Linked DNA regions of Alligator mississippiensis. The protein of the gene in region 1 interacts with the protein of each later gene in a pairwise test. Links are inferred from orthologs where the notes say so. Each region holds a gene or a part of one and is shown in the gene's direction. Other genes may lie near its edges.

Region 1 (6,359 bases):
TCCTGCCCATGGCTCCCCTAGGGGTGCGTGAGCGGCAGTGAGTCGTGCCCCCCCCCCAACCTCTCCCAGCAGCTCTGTCCCATGACCCCTTAGGGCCCCATTCACCCCAGCCTCTAACCTGACTCCCTCCCTCACTGTGGGGGCCTTGCTTGAGTCCAGAGAAGAGCCACCTGTATGATCAAAGACTTGCAAGGCAAGCCATACAAGGAAAGACTGAGGGACCTGGGACTCTTCAGCCTGAAAAAGAGAATGCTAAGAGGGGACTTGGTAGCAGCTTACCACTACATCAGGGGACTATATCAAGGGCTTGGCGAACAACTGTTCACCAGGGCACCCTTGGGGAAAACCAGGAGTAATGGCCACAAGCTCTGGGAAGACCATTTCAGGTTTAATGCAAGGAAAAACTTTGTCACAGTCAGGGTGTCCAGACTGTGGAATAAACTCCCTCCAGAGGTGGTACAATTACTTACCCTGGAAATCTTCAGAGGAGACTGGACAGTTACCTCGCTGGGGTCACTTGACCCCAGTTGTCTTTCCTGCCTAGGGCAGGGGCCTGGACCCGATTTTGCAAGGTCCCTTCCAGCCTCCTACAATCTGTGAACCTCATGCTAAGATTACCACTTTGAGAAAATATTTAAAATAGGACAAATGATGTGATGACAGAACAGCATCAGAAATGTTTATTTGCTTCTTTCATACCTAACAGAGGGTAAATTCAGGGCCTTGAAGATGGAGTTCTCTCTTCCTCCTTCCACTTACGCTACCATGGCAATTCGAGAAGTCTTAAAAATGGACACGAGTATAAAAAACCAGACACAGCTGAATACTACGTGGCTTCGCTGAATGAATGCTGTAAAACTACATAAAGATTTTAAAATATGAATGAGTTTTCATATTTTCCTGTCCTGTGCAAACCATTGAATATTTTTAGAAGAAAAAAGTTTGTATTTTTTTAAGTTTTTTTTTTTTTTAGCTTAAGCATTTAATTCAATAATTATTTGCAATATGGGTGTTTGTAAAAAACAAAAAACAAAAAAAAACTTAATGCTTTGGCTTTCTTAATTACCTGAGCCCATAATGTACTTAAGCTCTAGCACAACTACAGTTTAAGAAGAAATGGGCTTAGGACAGCAATCTCAGATTTTTGGAAATACTAAATTGCTTTTCTCTTTATAAGTACAGAGAGCATTGAATATACTTTCATCAGTTCAGCACAGAATAAAAGTCACTGCAAGCATGCTAATGTTACAGAGAAGAATTATTAAATACAATTGAAGAATTAATATTTATTTCAGAGGAGTACATTTGAGTAGCGTTGGAATGCCAGTAGCATTTGCACTGATTGGTAAATGAATCGATTGGCAAAACTTTTAATTCCTTTTTATGTGATGTAAACAGATACAGCTATTTTTAATTATTTGAGCTCTAAATTTTATTATGAAAATATTGTGCATGTTTTCATCTCTAAGAGTACTTGTACAAAAGAACAGGTAACAAAAACAAATTAACCAAAAAGTCCAGATGAGTATTCATGAATAACAGCTAATTTCTGGGCACCAGAAATTTGGTGGGTCCATTGCTGGCAGTGGATGAGCTGGGCAAATCCAATCTCCCGGCACCAAAGGATTAAAAAGCCATTCTAACAGCAGTTCTGTTGCATTTTCGATGTTATAATTTTTAAAAAACCAACCAAACACACTTGTTTTCTGCTGCTTGAATTAATAAATTGTGTAAATAGTCCAAGTTGTTTGTGTCTTCTTTTGAGCATTGGATTTGTGTGCGAATAATACAAAAACATAAGTATCTTTTCTTGAGAGGGGGGGAAAAAAATGAACTGCCCGAAGTATCGGTGGAGATGCAGTATGTGCTTGCAGGTGGATGCCATTTTTTGTTCCTAGTATGGCTGACCCGTTCATTTCTTTAAAAAAAAACCCAAAAAAACTCTCAGCTGGTTAAAGGCGACATCCTGGGTGGGCTGGTGCCCCGACCCGCTGTGGCGGTTTGCAGAATGGTGTTCAGTAAAACAGAAAACTTCCAAAATTTTGACTCTAGTTGGGAGCAGAGGGAGATGCCTTTGGGGGCACAGAGGTGTTTCCACATCTCAGCACACACTATTGTAGCTGCTCCCAAACTTTGTGTAGACTTCTGGCTGCCCTAGAGGCGCCCTTGGGCAATGCCCACTCCTGCGTCCCGCTCTTTTTGCCTATAGCAGACATGATGGAGCAGGTTTTCTGTGGCAGAACAGCACAGCTAGGCTTCCTGTGTGAAAGCCCTGGGTTAACTCTGCTCCTCGTCAGAGCACTGAGGCCGGGCTCTTTTTGATTCAACCAAGCTGCATTAGTTGGTCTAATTAAAGATCTGGGATTTACCCGCGGAACCTCGCCTGTCACCGTCCTTAGACCAGCACAGCGCCACCCTCCACCCCTCAGCCTGTGCGCCGTCCTCGAGACCGCCTCAGGATAGCCCGGGGGCGGGAACCTGGCTGCCCCTCACTGCCCTGCGCGTTGCGGCGGGGCGGGGCCCGGCCCAACCCAACCGCGCTCTCCCATTGGCCACGGGGCGCGGGGCTGAGTGCCAGGCTCCGCCCCTCGCTGGGGGTGGGGCGAGGCGGAACTGCAATAACGGCAACAACCGCCGGAGGGGCCTCCTCGCGTGTGCGTCTCGCGCGTGGCAGGTACTCTGTTCTAGCGCTGTAGGCACGTGACCCGCGCGCTCGGGCGGCTTCGCCACCTCTCGCGGGACCTGGGGCTGTGGACGCGGCCGGTAGGGGCGGGGCTCAGGGCCCGGCGGGAGTGGCGGCGGCTGCAAGCGGAGTGGGGGGAAGCCCGGCCCGGCCTGGCCCGGCCCGGCCCGGCCCGGCCCGGCCCTGCTGCAGGTGCTGCGATGAGACTCGTCCCGGTGGGCGGCTGCTGCGCGAGTCGTGCGACCGCGGTCACTCCTCGCGGGGTTTGGGGGTGGCGCTGCTCCCACAAACGGGCCTTGCGCTGACTCGCGGCTGCCCGCAGCGACAGCGACAGCGCGGCCGGCAGCCCGCTCCGCTCCCCTGCCCTGCCCTGCCCTCCTCTCCTCTCCCTTGCGGCTGTGCCGGACTGAAGCAGCCAAAAGGCACTAAGGCAAAGACACCGCCTGCAGCGTCACGGGCCAAGCCTGTCCGCTGCTGGTGCGGTGACCAGACTAACGAGTATAAATGGTTTCTAGGTTTTTTTTCCCCCTTTTCCACGCGTTTCTTTCAAAGAAGTTTTAAGCTAATGTTCAAATGGCCGCGGGTTTCTTCAGCTGCCTGCACATATGAAATATTTGACACATTTTGCACATTTTTAATCTGGTGGTTGAGGTAGGGATGATAACCTGACCAGACAGCTCTCGCACGTGAATTTCACTGTTTTCAAAGCTGCCGAAGGTCGTTGCAGGAGTTGGACCAACATTTTCGATTATTTTTTTATATGCTAAACCAAAAATAAAATTACTTATTTACTAGATGTTTGTTGCAGCTCTTCCCAAAACAGGCTCAGGGCGGCTTACAGAAAAAATAATTTATGAAAGCAGATCACACGCGCACGCATACACTCACGCACCCCCTCACCTCCTGTATATCAACAGTATGCATAAACTCCCCAAACACAGCTCATCTTAGTAAATTGAGTAGGATTGCTTACTAAATGCCTGTCCAAAAATCAAGTAGCTTTTAGAAATATAGTGTCAGAGGAGTAAAAGCTGGTTAACTTTTCTTGCTCGTAGCTGTGTTTTGGTTCTGTGCACTCGTCAGCCGATGAGTGTGTGTGTGTGTCATACTTTGTGGATCAAAGGCCATATCCCCACAAAAACTTATGCATGTGGATAGTCTTATGGAAGCAGTATTTTCACAGAATAGTTTTGAACTGAATTTTCTCTGGCCCTATTTCACTCTGGTGGTCAGTAGTTCTGTGTTGGTGGTGGCTAACTAAATATCCTGTAATTCAGTGCTGCAGGTGAAGAAAAAATGGCGGCCATTAAAGTTGGAAGACAACTAGTCGCTAGAGATCCAGATCACTGTGATATACCCTACTATGTATCTGAATTTGTGGAAAGAGAAATTGGAAACGATCGTAATTCCCTAACAAAACTTGGCATGCTAATAGAAGAGCTCTCAGAAAACAAAAGGCAATTGGAGGAGCAGGTAAGCATTCTCACAGTTCTCAAATTCACTAATGTAGTAAAAACAGTATGACAGAAGAGCAGGGGGGAAAGCTTGCATGTGGCTGCTGCTACCCACCACACTGCGCTACCTCCGCTCCACATGCAGCCACCACCCCCCACTCTGCATATGGCTGCTGCCACCAACTCCGGCTCCATGTCTGGGTGGAAACCCTGTGCCCTCAGGTAACCCACATTTTTACAGAACCAGCACTCCCTCGTTCCCCATTTGTGCCAGATATCAGCGATTTTACTGTACGTTGCCAAACCATATATGTACTTACTGTATTTATTCAAATCCAAAACGATGCTTTCTCCCCCTGTTTAACATGGTGGGAAAAAGCCCCTCATCTTGGATTTGAGTACAGGGAGGTGGTGGCGGGGAGGCAGTTGCTGCAGCTCTGGCGCTGGCCCTGATCTGGGGTCAGCTGGAACCACAGCTACTGCTACTGCCCCTGCCCCCTAGTGTCTGCACCCTTGCCATTGCTTTCCCTGCTGCAGCACTGTGTGTGGGGGGAAGAGATTTAAGATGGAATAATTAGATTCTATATATGGAAAATTAAAACAAGTGTATACATTTTCCATATATAGAATCTAATTATTGCGGGTTGTTTTAATTATTGAGGGTTGTTTTGGATTCAGGTAAATAGTGTGTTGCAATATTTTAAGTAATGCCAGAAAAACTGCTGGTTTTTTTACATCCTTAAGTAAACAATCATGTATATTTTACTGTGGAGAGGGGAGGGGTGTGTGTATTGAGCTCCTGGGAAGGAAGGAAGGAACAAGTTAGAAGTTTCCTAAGTAAGCTAGATATTTAAAAATCAATAGCTCCTTAATTAATGAAGGAATTGGCTGAAATGATTGCATAACCACTAGCTATTGTCTTTTGAGAACTCATAGATGTTGTATGACGTCCCAGAAACTGAAAAAAGGGAAAACAGAGGATCCAAAGAATTACAGGCCAGTCAGTCTAAGTTTGATATCTGGAACAATACTAGAACATATCCTCAGGTTATTAATTTAGTAGCACCTAGAGATTAATAGGAGATAGTAGTAAGTAAGGCTTTGATACTATGTCATTCTTGTGAACTAGCTCAGCTCAGATGTGGGGTGGAAAATTTTCCAGTGTTTTATTTTTATGTGGGAAATTTTCCATTTCTAAAAATTCATTGTTTCATAAAATTCATAATTGATGCCAATACAATATTAGGCAAGCTTGGCAGTTTCAGAGTTGTAATTAATGTTTTTCAGGTGATTATCCCTAGGAAGTGTGAGAGAGAGTACATATGTGTTTTGTTGATTTGTAAACAGGAGGGTAAATACACTTGCATAATAACCGAAACCAAAAATCAAGTTATGAATTCACCTAGTTGACTGTGCAGGTCAAATCAAAACCAAAGCACAGCATATTTCATAGATTTCATAGACATTAGGGCTGGAAGGGACCTTGGAAGATCGAGTCCAGCCCCCTGCCCAAGGGGCAGGAAGTCAGCTGGGGTCATAGGATCCCAGCAAGATAAGCATCCAAATTTCTCTTGAAGGTGTTCAACATAGGTGCTTGAATATGTCCAGTGGCAGACTATTCCAGACCTTGGGGGCTTAGACAGTAAAGAAATTCTTCCTTATATCCAGCCTGAAATGGTTTTGCAGTAGTTTATAACCGTTCGACCTTGTCATCCCTTGGGGCGCTCTGGTGAACAAACGTTCCCCCAGATACTGGTGGTCACCCCTGATAAACTTATAGGTGGTCATCAGATCACCCCTGAGCCTGCACTTTTGCAGGCTAAAGAGCCCCATAGCTCTCAGCCTGTCATCATAAGATCTGTTTTCCTGACCTCTGATCATGCGCGTGGCTCTTCTCTGAACTCTCAAGCTTCTCCATGTCCTTTTTGAATTGTGGGGACCGAAACTGGACGCAGTACTCCAGCTGTGGCCTCACCAAGGCCGAATACAATGGGAGCATGACATCCCAGGATTTGCTTGAGAAGCATCTGTAGATGCAAGCCAGCGTTTTGGTTGCTTTACTAGCCGCAGCATCGCATTGCAGGCTCATGTTCATCTTGTGGTCAATGCTGACCCCCAAGTCTCTTTCTTCCATAGTGCTAGCCACTGTAGCACTGCGAGCCTATAAGGATGCTGCAGGTTTTTCCTCCCAAGGTGGAGAACCTTGCATTTTTCAGTGTTAA
Region 2 (6,359 bases), on another chromosome or scaffold:
ACAGGTATCACATTTAGATGTTTGCGATTAACATCCATGGAGACTGCAGACAAGGATCAAAGCACTGGCTTGTGTTGCCAGAGAGACATTAGGGGGGAAAGTCAGGAACGAGCCATCCTACCATCTGAAATGCAGAGGAGGGAGAATAGTTCAGTGGAGTTGGGGCAACTCATTGAGTAGAGCTCATTACAGCTGGGCCTCCAGAAAAAAAAGCAATGTCTGCTGCCCCTTGAGCATATACCAGGGCACAACAATTACAATAGAAGACAAGTCAAAGGGTGGTCATATCTCTAGCCTGGATATGTTCCTTTGAGAAAGAGGAGACCAAATTTATCTTTTAGCCATGTCTATTGCAAACAGATCGGTAGGCCTTTTGACCTCCTCCAGAAGAGGCTATAGTGTCTGTTTCATGATCTAGCCCGGGCTGGATAATTCCCAGGCAATGCTCAGAGGCAGTTGAGGATTTCAATGCCAGCTGGGGAATCATCACATTTAAGTTAAGCCTGGAAGCATAGGAGATTGTAGAGTTGCTAAGTTTTATGGAAATTATTTATAACTATGCAAATTTCCTTGTGCAAGAATTTCCTTGTGCAAGAATTCACACACAGCCATAAACTTCAGTTTAAAGTCAATTCATGTTGCCTAAGCCCTAGGGGAAATAGACTGGGGGAACAAAGGTAAACTTGGCAGGTTTGGCAGGGCAGAAGACAAATGATGCTTGGATTACCTGTGTGGAAGATGGGCTGGAAGGGGAGGTGGGCTGGTTGCAAGGAGAACTGGTTTGGAACAAGGACAAGATTCTTTCCTGTTTTGCAGCCTTCTGGCTCCTCCCTCAGCTCAGATCCAGCAGGAAAAGAAGTGAGGCAGATGCTGCCAGGCACCACAAGGACCTCTGACAGTCAGGGGTTGCAATGGCAGGAAAGTCCTGCAGTCCCACTGGAAAGCATGAGTGTGAAGGAGAGGCCAGTTACACACTGGGCAGCTGGTCACTCAGAAGGTCTGTGGGCATCGCCTTCACAGCAGGGGGAAAGGATGTATGGGAGAAGGAGGCCTAGAAAGCAGGGTAGGACCTTCTGGGTGGGAAAATCCCTACCCTTTCTGGTAGGGTGAATACTCTTTTGGGTTGCATTTCTGAACTCACCATGTACAAAGCTCTGTGGAGAGAATATGATGGGAAACTGTTTGCAAAATGGTGCCATTTGAAGTAACTAAGAACCTTGCAGTGAGTCTGCATCCAGAGAAGGCAGTTTTTGTGCCAGCTGCATCTCTCATGAATACTCTCTCTGTCTCACTCTGTATGCAGGTCAATAAAGGTAAGTGCAGAGTGCTTCATCTGAGGAGAAGTAACCAGTGACATGAATATAAGTTAGGAGATGTCCTGGTAAGCACAATGGCTGAAGGGGACCTCCGGGTTATGGTTGATCCCAGGATGAATATGAGCTGCCAGTGTGACACTGTAGTCAACAGAGCTAATAGCATACCAGGATGTATTAGTCAATGCATTACAAGCAGGGCTAAGGAAATGATATTTCCTCTCTACTCAGTGCTGGTGAGACCCCAGCTGGAGTACTGTGTCCAGTTCTGGGCACTACACTTCAAAAAAGATGTGGAGGATCTTGAAAGGGTCCAGAAAAGGGCCACAAGAATACTTAAAGGCCTGGAGGACAAACATTATGAGGAAAGACTAAGGGATCTGTGACTGTTCAGCCTGGGGAAGAGAAGACTGAGGGGGGGACTTAGTGGCCATCTATAAATATGTAAGAAGTGAATATTGGGAGCTAGGAGAAAAACTGATCACTAGGGTGCCCCAGGAGACAACAAGGGACAATGGCCATAAACTTTTAGAGGATGGTTTGGGGTTGGATGTAAGGAAGAACTTTTTTATGGTAAGGGTGGCCAGAATCTGAAGTAGACTTCCCAAGGAAGCAGTGCAGTCCCCAACCTTGGAAGTCTTCAAGAGGAGACTGGACAGACACCTTGCTGGGATCATTTGATCTCAGCAGTATTCCTGCTCAGAGCAGGAGGGTTAGACTCAATGATCTTTCAAGGTCCCTTCCAGCCCTTAATTTCTACGATTCTGTGATTTCCGGTTTCACCTCGGGTCTGTGACACCACCACCACAACTGTGACACCCTGGGAACTACTTCCAGATTTCATCAGTGATGTGAGAGGGAAGGATCTCAGTGTTCACTCCTTACATCCACTGCCCCATCTAAAACAAGAATGAGAGTTCCTCACTCTATCATTATCAAATCCTTATACAGGCAAGTCCTCGGACTTGCAACACAATTGGTTCCTGAAAACCACGTCTTAAGTCAAAACATTGTAACTTGGAACCAATTTTCTCATAAGAAACAATGTTATAAATGAGGGATTGGTTCCTGAACCAAAGCCCAATAACCTATTTTCACCAAAAATACCCCAGAATTTTGTACTCGATCAATTATAGAGGAGTAATATAGCTACATTAATATATTTATATTGTAAATAGCAATCATGTTGATTTGGAAAGACTCTTTGAGGTGACTTTGCTGGACTTTTTGAAGGGCTCTTGGCTGGAGTATTCTCAGGAGTCTTGACTGCAGGTTTTTCTGGAGTTTTGTCTGTTTTCTTAAAGAACGTGTCCAAGTAAGTTTGGACAAATGTTCTCCAGGGAGATGAGCAACCCAGCAAACTTGTTCACTGGCATGGCATTGCATCAGATCAAGCATTGTAAAGTCAAAACTGATGTCATTAAGTTGAAACAGGGTGTCAATTTATAAATGTTGTAACTGCGAAACATTTTAACTCGAAACATTGTAAGTCGAGGACTGCCTATACATTACAATCAGCGTAAGGAAAGCATGCCAGCTAATTCCCCTGTACACTTTTTTGCCTGGGCAGGCATTACGGTTACCTAGAGACCAGAGTAAACAAAAGCTTTCAGTCGCAGCCCTCCAAGAGGCCCAAGGAACTTGTCACCCCCGTCTGTCCGCTTCCCGTGCTGACATGCTAAGGAAGCAAGTCCCACAGGCCTTTCTTTTTTTATTTTCGTTTAACACCATTGTGACTGCTTCAAGGAACAGGCAGGATTCCTGAGAGCATAGCAGCAGGTATTCTTGGGTTGCTTGCCATTTTTCTTAGCTGCCCAACAAACTGGCAGAGTTACTGATGGCTGCAGGGGGAATTTGTGTTTGGTAGGGCTAAGATATATTTGCTATATTGCCTTGACAGCAGCCTTTGGGGCCCAGGAGTTATGGGGTTGAGCAGATTAATGTGAATACATAAAAATATTGAGAAAGTATCACATTCAAGGTAAAGTACAGTACTTACGTAGAAAATATGATTTCAAAGATGATTCACTGGCCTTCAGATCCTGTCAGAAGCTAATCTCACATGGACATCGAATTAAAATATCAGAAGTCCCATATAGTAAAAGTTGTATCTTGGTATAATATTTGTAACAAAATCACAGTATGAAATTATATGATTCTGCTAATATTTTTTTCACGTGGCTTCTCCTGGTTATGAGTTTTTCTTTTGTCTATGCTCAGTTATTTCTGTTTAAACTATCATACAGGTATGCAGCACCTCTTCAGTAATTACTTAACAATTTTTCATGTCTTATAAGTTATTTCTTCATAAACATGATTTTTCTTATCAAGCAACCATAACATTTTTATTGAGGTGGATGCAGAGTAAATTAGGTAATAGAATGCAAACAATTAACTGTGCACCATGAGGGATGTTTTAAAGGTATCTGCTACAATATGATTTCATATTTAGTAATGTTAGATAACGAACTGTATGCTTTGGGCCAAATTCTGTTCTTCAGGACACAGCTGCAACCTTACCAGTTTTGATAATATTTCACCTTTATTACCGAGAGCCAAATGTGTTGTGTGTATGTGCACATACGTGCATAAGTGATTTTTAATTATGATTAACAAGCATCTTTACCAGGATATTTCTCTCTTTAGCCTGTGTTGATTGATATCACACAATGTTTTGGTTTTTTGGTTGGGTTTTTTTTGCTTTTGCTTTTACATGATTTAATAAAGCTTCCTGATTTTTACTCTTCACAGGATAGGACTGCCAGAATAGGAACTGAGGTTCTCTGGTTGCTTGCAATGGGTACTGATTAGAGAGCAAGGGGTCTAATTTTCTAAGCAGAACTCCACACACAAGTCTGAAATCTGATTATAAAAGGATTGGCTCTTTCTGCTTCTGCAAGCAGGAGTTCTGTAAAGCTTTTGTTAACATTGCTTGTTATATGTATATTAGGCATGTTTATGTTTAGAGCGGAATTGGTTGTATAAAGGTAAAATGAACTTCTTCTGGGTTTGAGATTTGAGACCAGATGTCTTTTACAACAATATTTTCTAGTTTATCCACAAGTTATTGACCTCAAATGTAGAGCACAAATAAAAGAAAACAAGTAGAAAAGAAAAATTCCTTCCACTGCTGGAATTACTGGGTGAAACACTGTCCTATTCTGCAGGAATTCAAACTAGATGATTATAGTAACTCTCTGACTTTAAAATCTGCAATAAACTCTGTTGCAGTTTGCACCAGAGGTTATTGCTTTCTGGCGCTGCATTTACATGTGTGTCCAGGACCACAGCATATTGAGTCAGGCAGGAGTACCCCCAACTGGCAGGAGGTTTGGGGGATCAACCTGCCAGCCTGGGGCTGCTCCAACCCAGCTCAATGTATTTTGGAGGGGGCTGGCTGGGGCACAAAGGTTCTCCCATGTGGGGCTAGCCAGCAAGGCAGCCCCTGCACTGAAGCACCCTCAAGCCCCAGCCACCCCTGTCAGCATCTATACGTGTGTTGTGGCGCACTAAATAAGGACACTGTAGAATAGCACTTATGTTTACAAATACTAGCCTACAGCAGTGTTTATTAGTTACCTAATAGGGCTGCACATGTAGATGTTATGACTACTGCAGAGCTAATTAGGCAACTCCGCTGTAAGCATTTCATGTAGATACACCCAGTGGAGACCAAAGTGATCAGGCTCTATAGGGAAGAAGTGGCCAGATGGTGCTGATTGGAAGGTAAACCCACTTCCCCCAACCTGGCACTGGTGTTTAAGTACTGGTTTCAACCTCTATCTGCTGCCAGCTGAATGTGACATTGGGGCCATAAGCACAGACTCCAGGGCTTCTCCCCTGGCATTTATCCTTTAGCTTTTTTCTGTCATGGTCTGAATATCCCTTTGCAAAGAAGCCATTAGAGAAATTATTTTTGCGGCATACACAGAATGTACAGACATACCTGAGAATCTATCCACCATAGTCCCCCCCAAAAAGGTGCCAACCAGGGACGTAAGTAATGTGGAGCTTTGCATTTGTTTTCCCAGTGCAGGAATTGCTTGCTACAGCAAGTTAATGTGGTAACTCAGGAATTAGTTTGACATACATGAATGGGCTATACTGAACTATGTATCTCTCACAATGTTTTTATTTCCTTCTCTAGAGGAGAAGACAAAAGATTATTGCAATGACTGCACTATTGCACCTTGCACTTAATTTAATATCCAGGAGATAGAACTGGCAAAATACTACATGTGAGAGCTGCAAGTGAGAAAGTGCTTTGGTAGCTGCTTAGACCATTATCACAGCTTGGAAATCTCAATTAATATACATTAAACAATTACTAAGGAAATCACAGACAGACATGTATTACGTTTTACAATACAGTGGGTGTGTCTACACATGACACTACATTGCCGTAGCAACACACTATGGCGACACAGTGTCCGTGGGCGTCTACATGTCACCAGCAGCTATTTCACTTTAGCAACACACTCCCCCACTGTAGTGTGCCGCTATGGCGAAGTAGCTGCTGAAAATAACCATGTGCCGTGCGTACGACGAAGTACAGACTGTTACTGTGCCATGATTTAGTACTTCCAAAAGGAAGTACTAAATCACAGTGTAGTAACAACATCACCATAGTGACACATGTAGACGCACCCAGTGACAGATAACAGGGGTAACTGTGACCTGTATACAATACAGGCCCATTCACATGTCATTATAAATATTTTCAAATGGTAGTTATTGATTTTTAGCAAGATTTTTTTTCTTTTTGTTAAATTACATACACAAAGTGCTTCTGCTCAACTGCACTTTGGCACTTTTTCTCCCTCCTTCTCTCCTTCCCTCCCTACGAAGATTCTCTTCATGTCTAATATTTTATTCTGTTTTTGTCAGAAAGACAGATGAAAAGCCAAGGGACCTGAAACCCCCCAAATTTCTCTTTACTCTCCCTTCATAAATACCTGTGATCAAATGGTACATCTCACTGTAGGCGATGCAACGTGCTGCCTACTCAGCCATCATGTGTACAATAGGTTCCTTTCTTTTTTATGT

Evidence for each region. The genes of interacting proteins can lie anywhere in the genome.
Region 2: the proteins of RINT1 (region 1) and FAM81B interact in binary tests that used the Homo sapiens proteins (3 or more experiments, as listed by UniProt). The two-hybrid records come from large-scale screens. The link is inferred for Alligator mississippiensis from reciprocal best matches to the Homo sapiens genes RINT1 and FAM81B.

What each region holds. Positions count from the first base shown.
Region 1 is NC_081827.1:26,523,226-26,529,584, forward strand, and holds the start of RINT1 (RAD50-interacting protein 1), read left to right. Parts: upstream 1-2,598; 5' UTR 2,599-2,674; intron 2,675-2,716; exon of another isoform or gene 2,717-2,763; intron 2,764-2,771; exon of another isoform or gene 2,772-2,898; intron 2,899-3,960; 5' UTR 3,961-3,979; coding exon 3,980-4,156; intron 4,157-6,359. Other genes in the region: PUS7 (pseudouridylate synthase 7 homolog), read left to right, coding at 707-843. UniProt on the Homo sapiens protein: Involved in regulation of membrane traffic between the Golgi and the endoplasmic reticulum (ER); the function is proposed to depend on its association in the NRZ complex which is believed to play a role in SNARE assembly at the ER.
Region 2 is NC_081826.1:239,356,505-239,362,863, reverse strand, and holds the start of FAM81B (protein FAM81B), read left to right. Parts: upstream 1-2,935; 5' UTR 2,936-3,092; intron 3,093-6,359.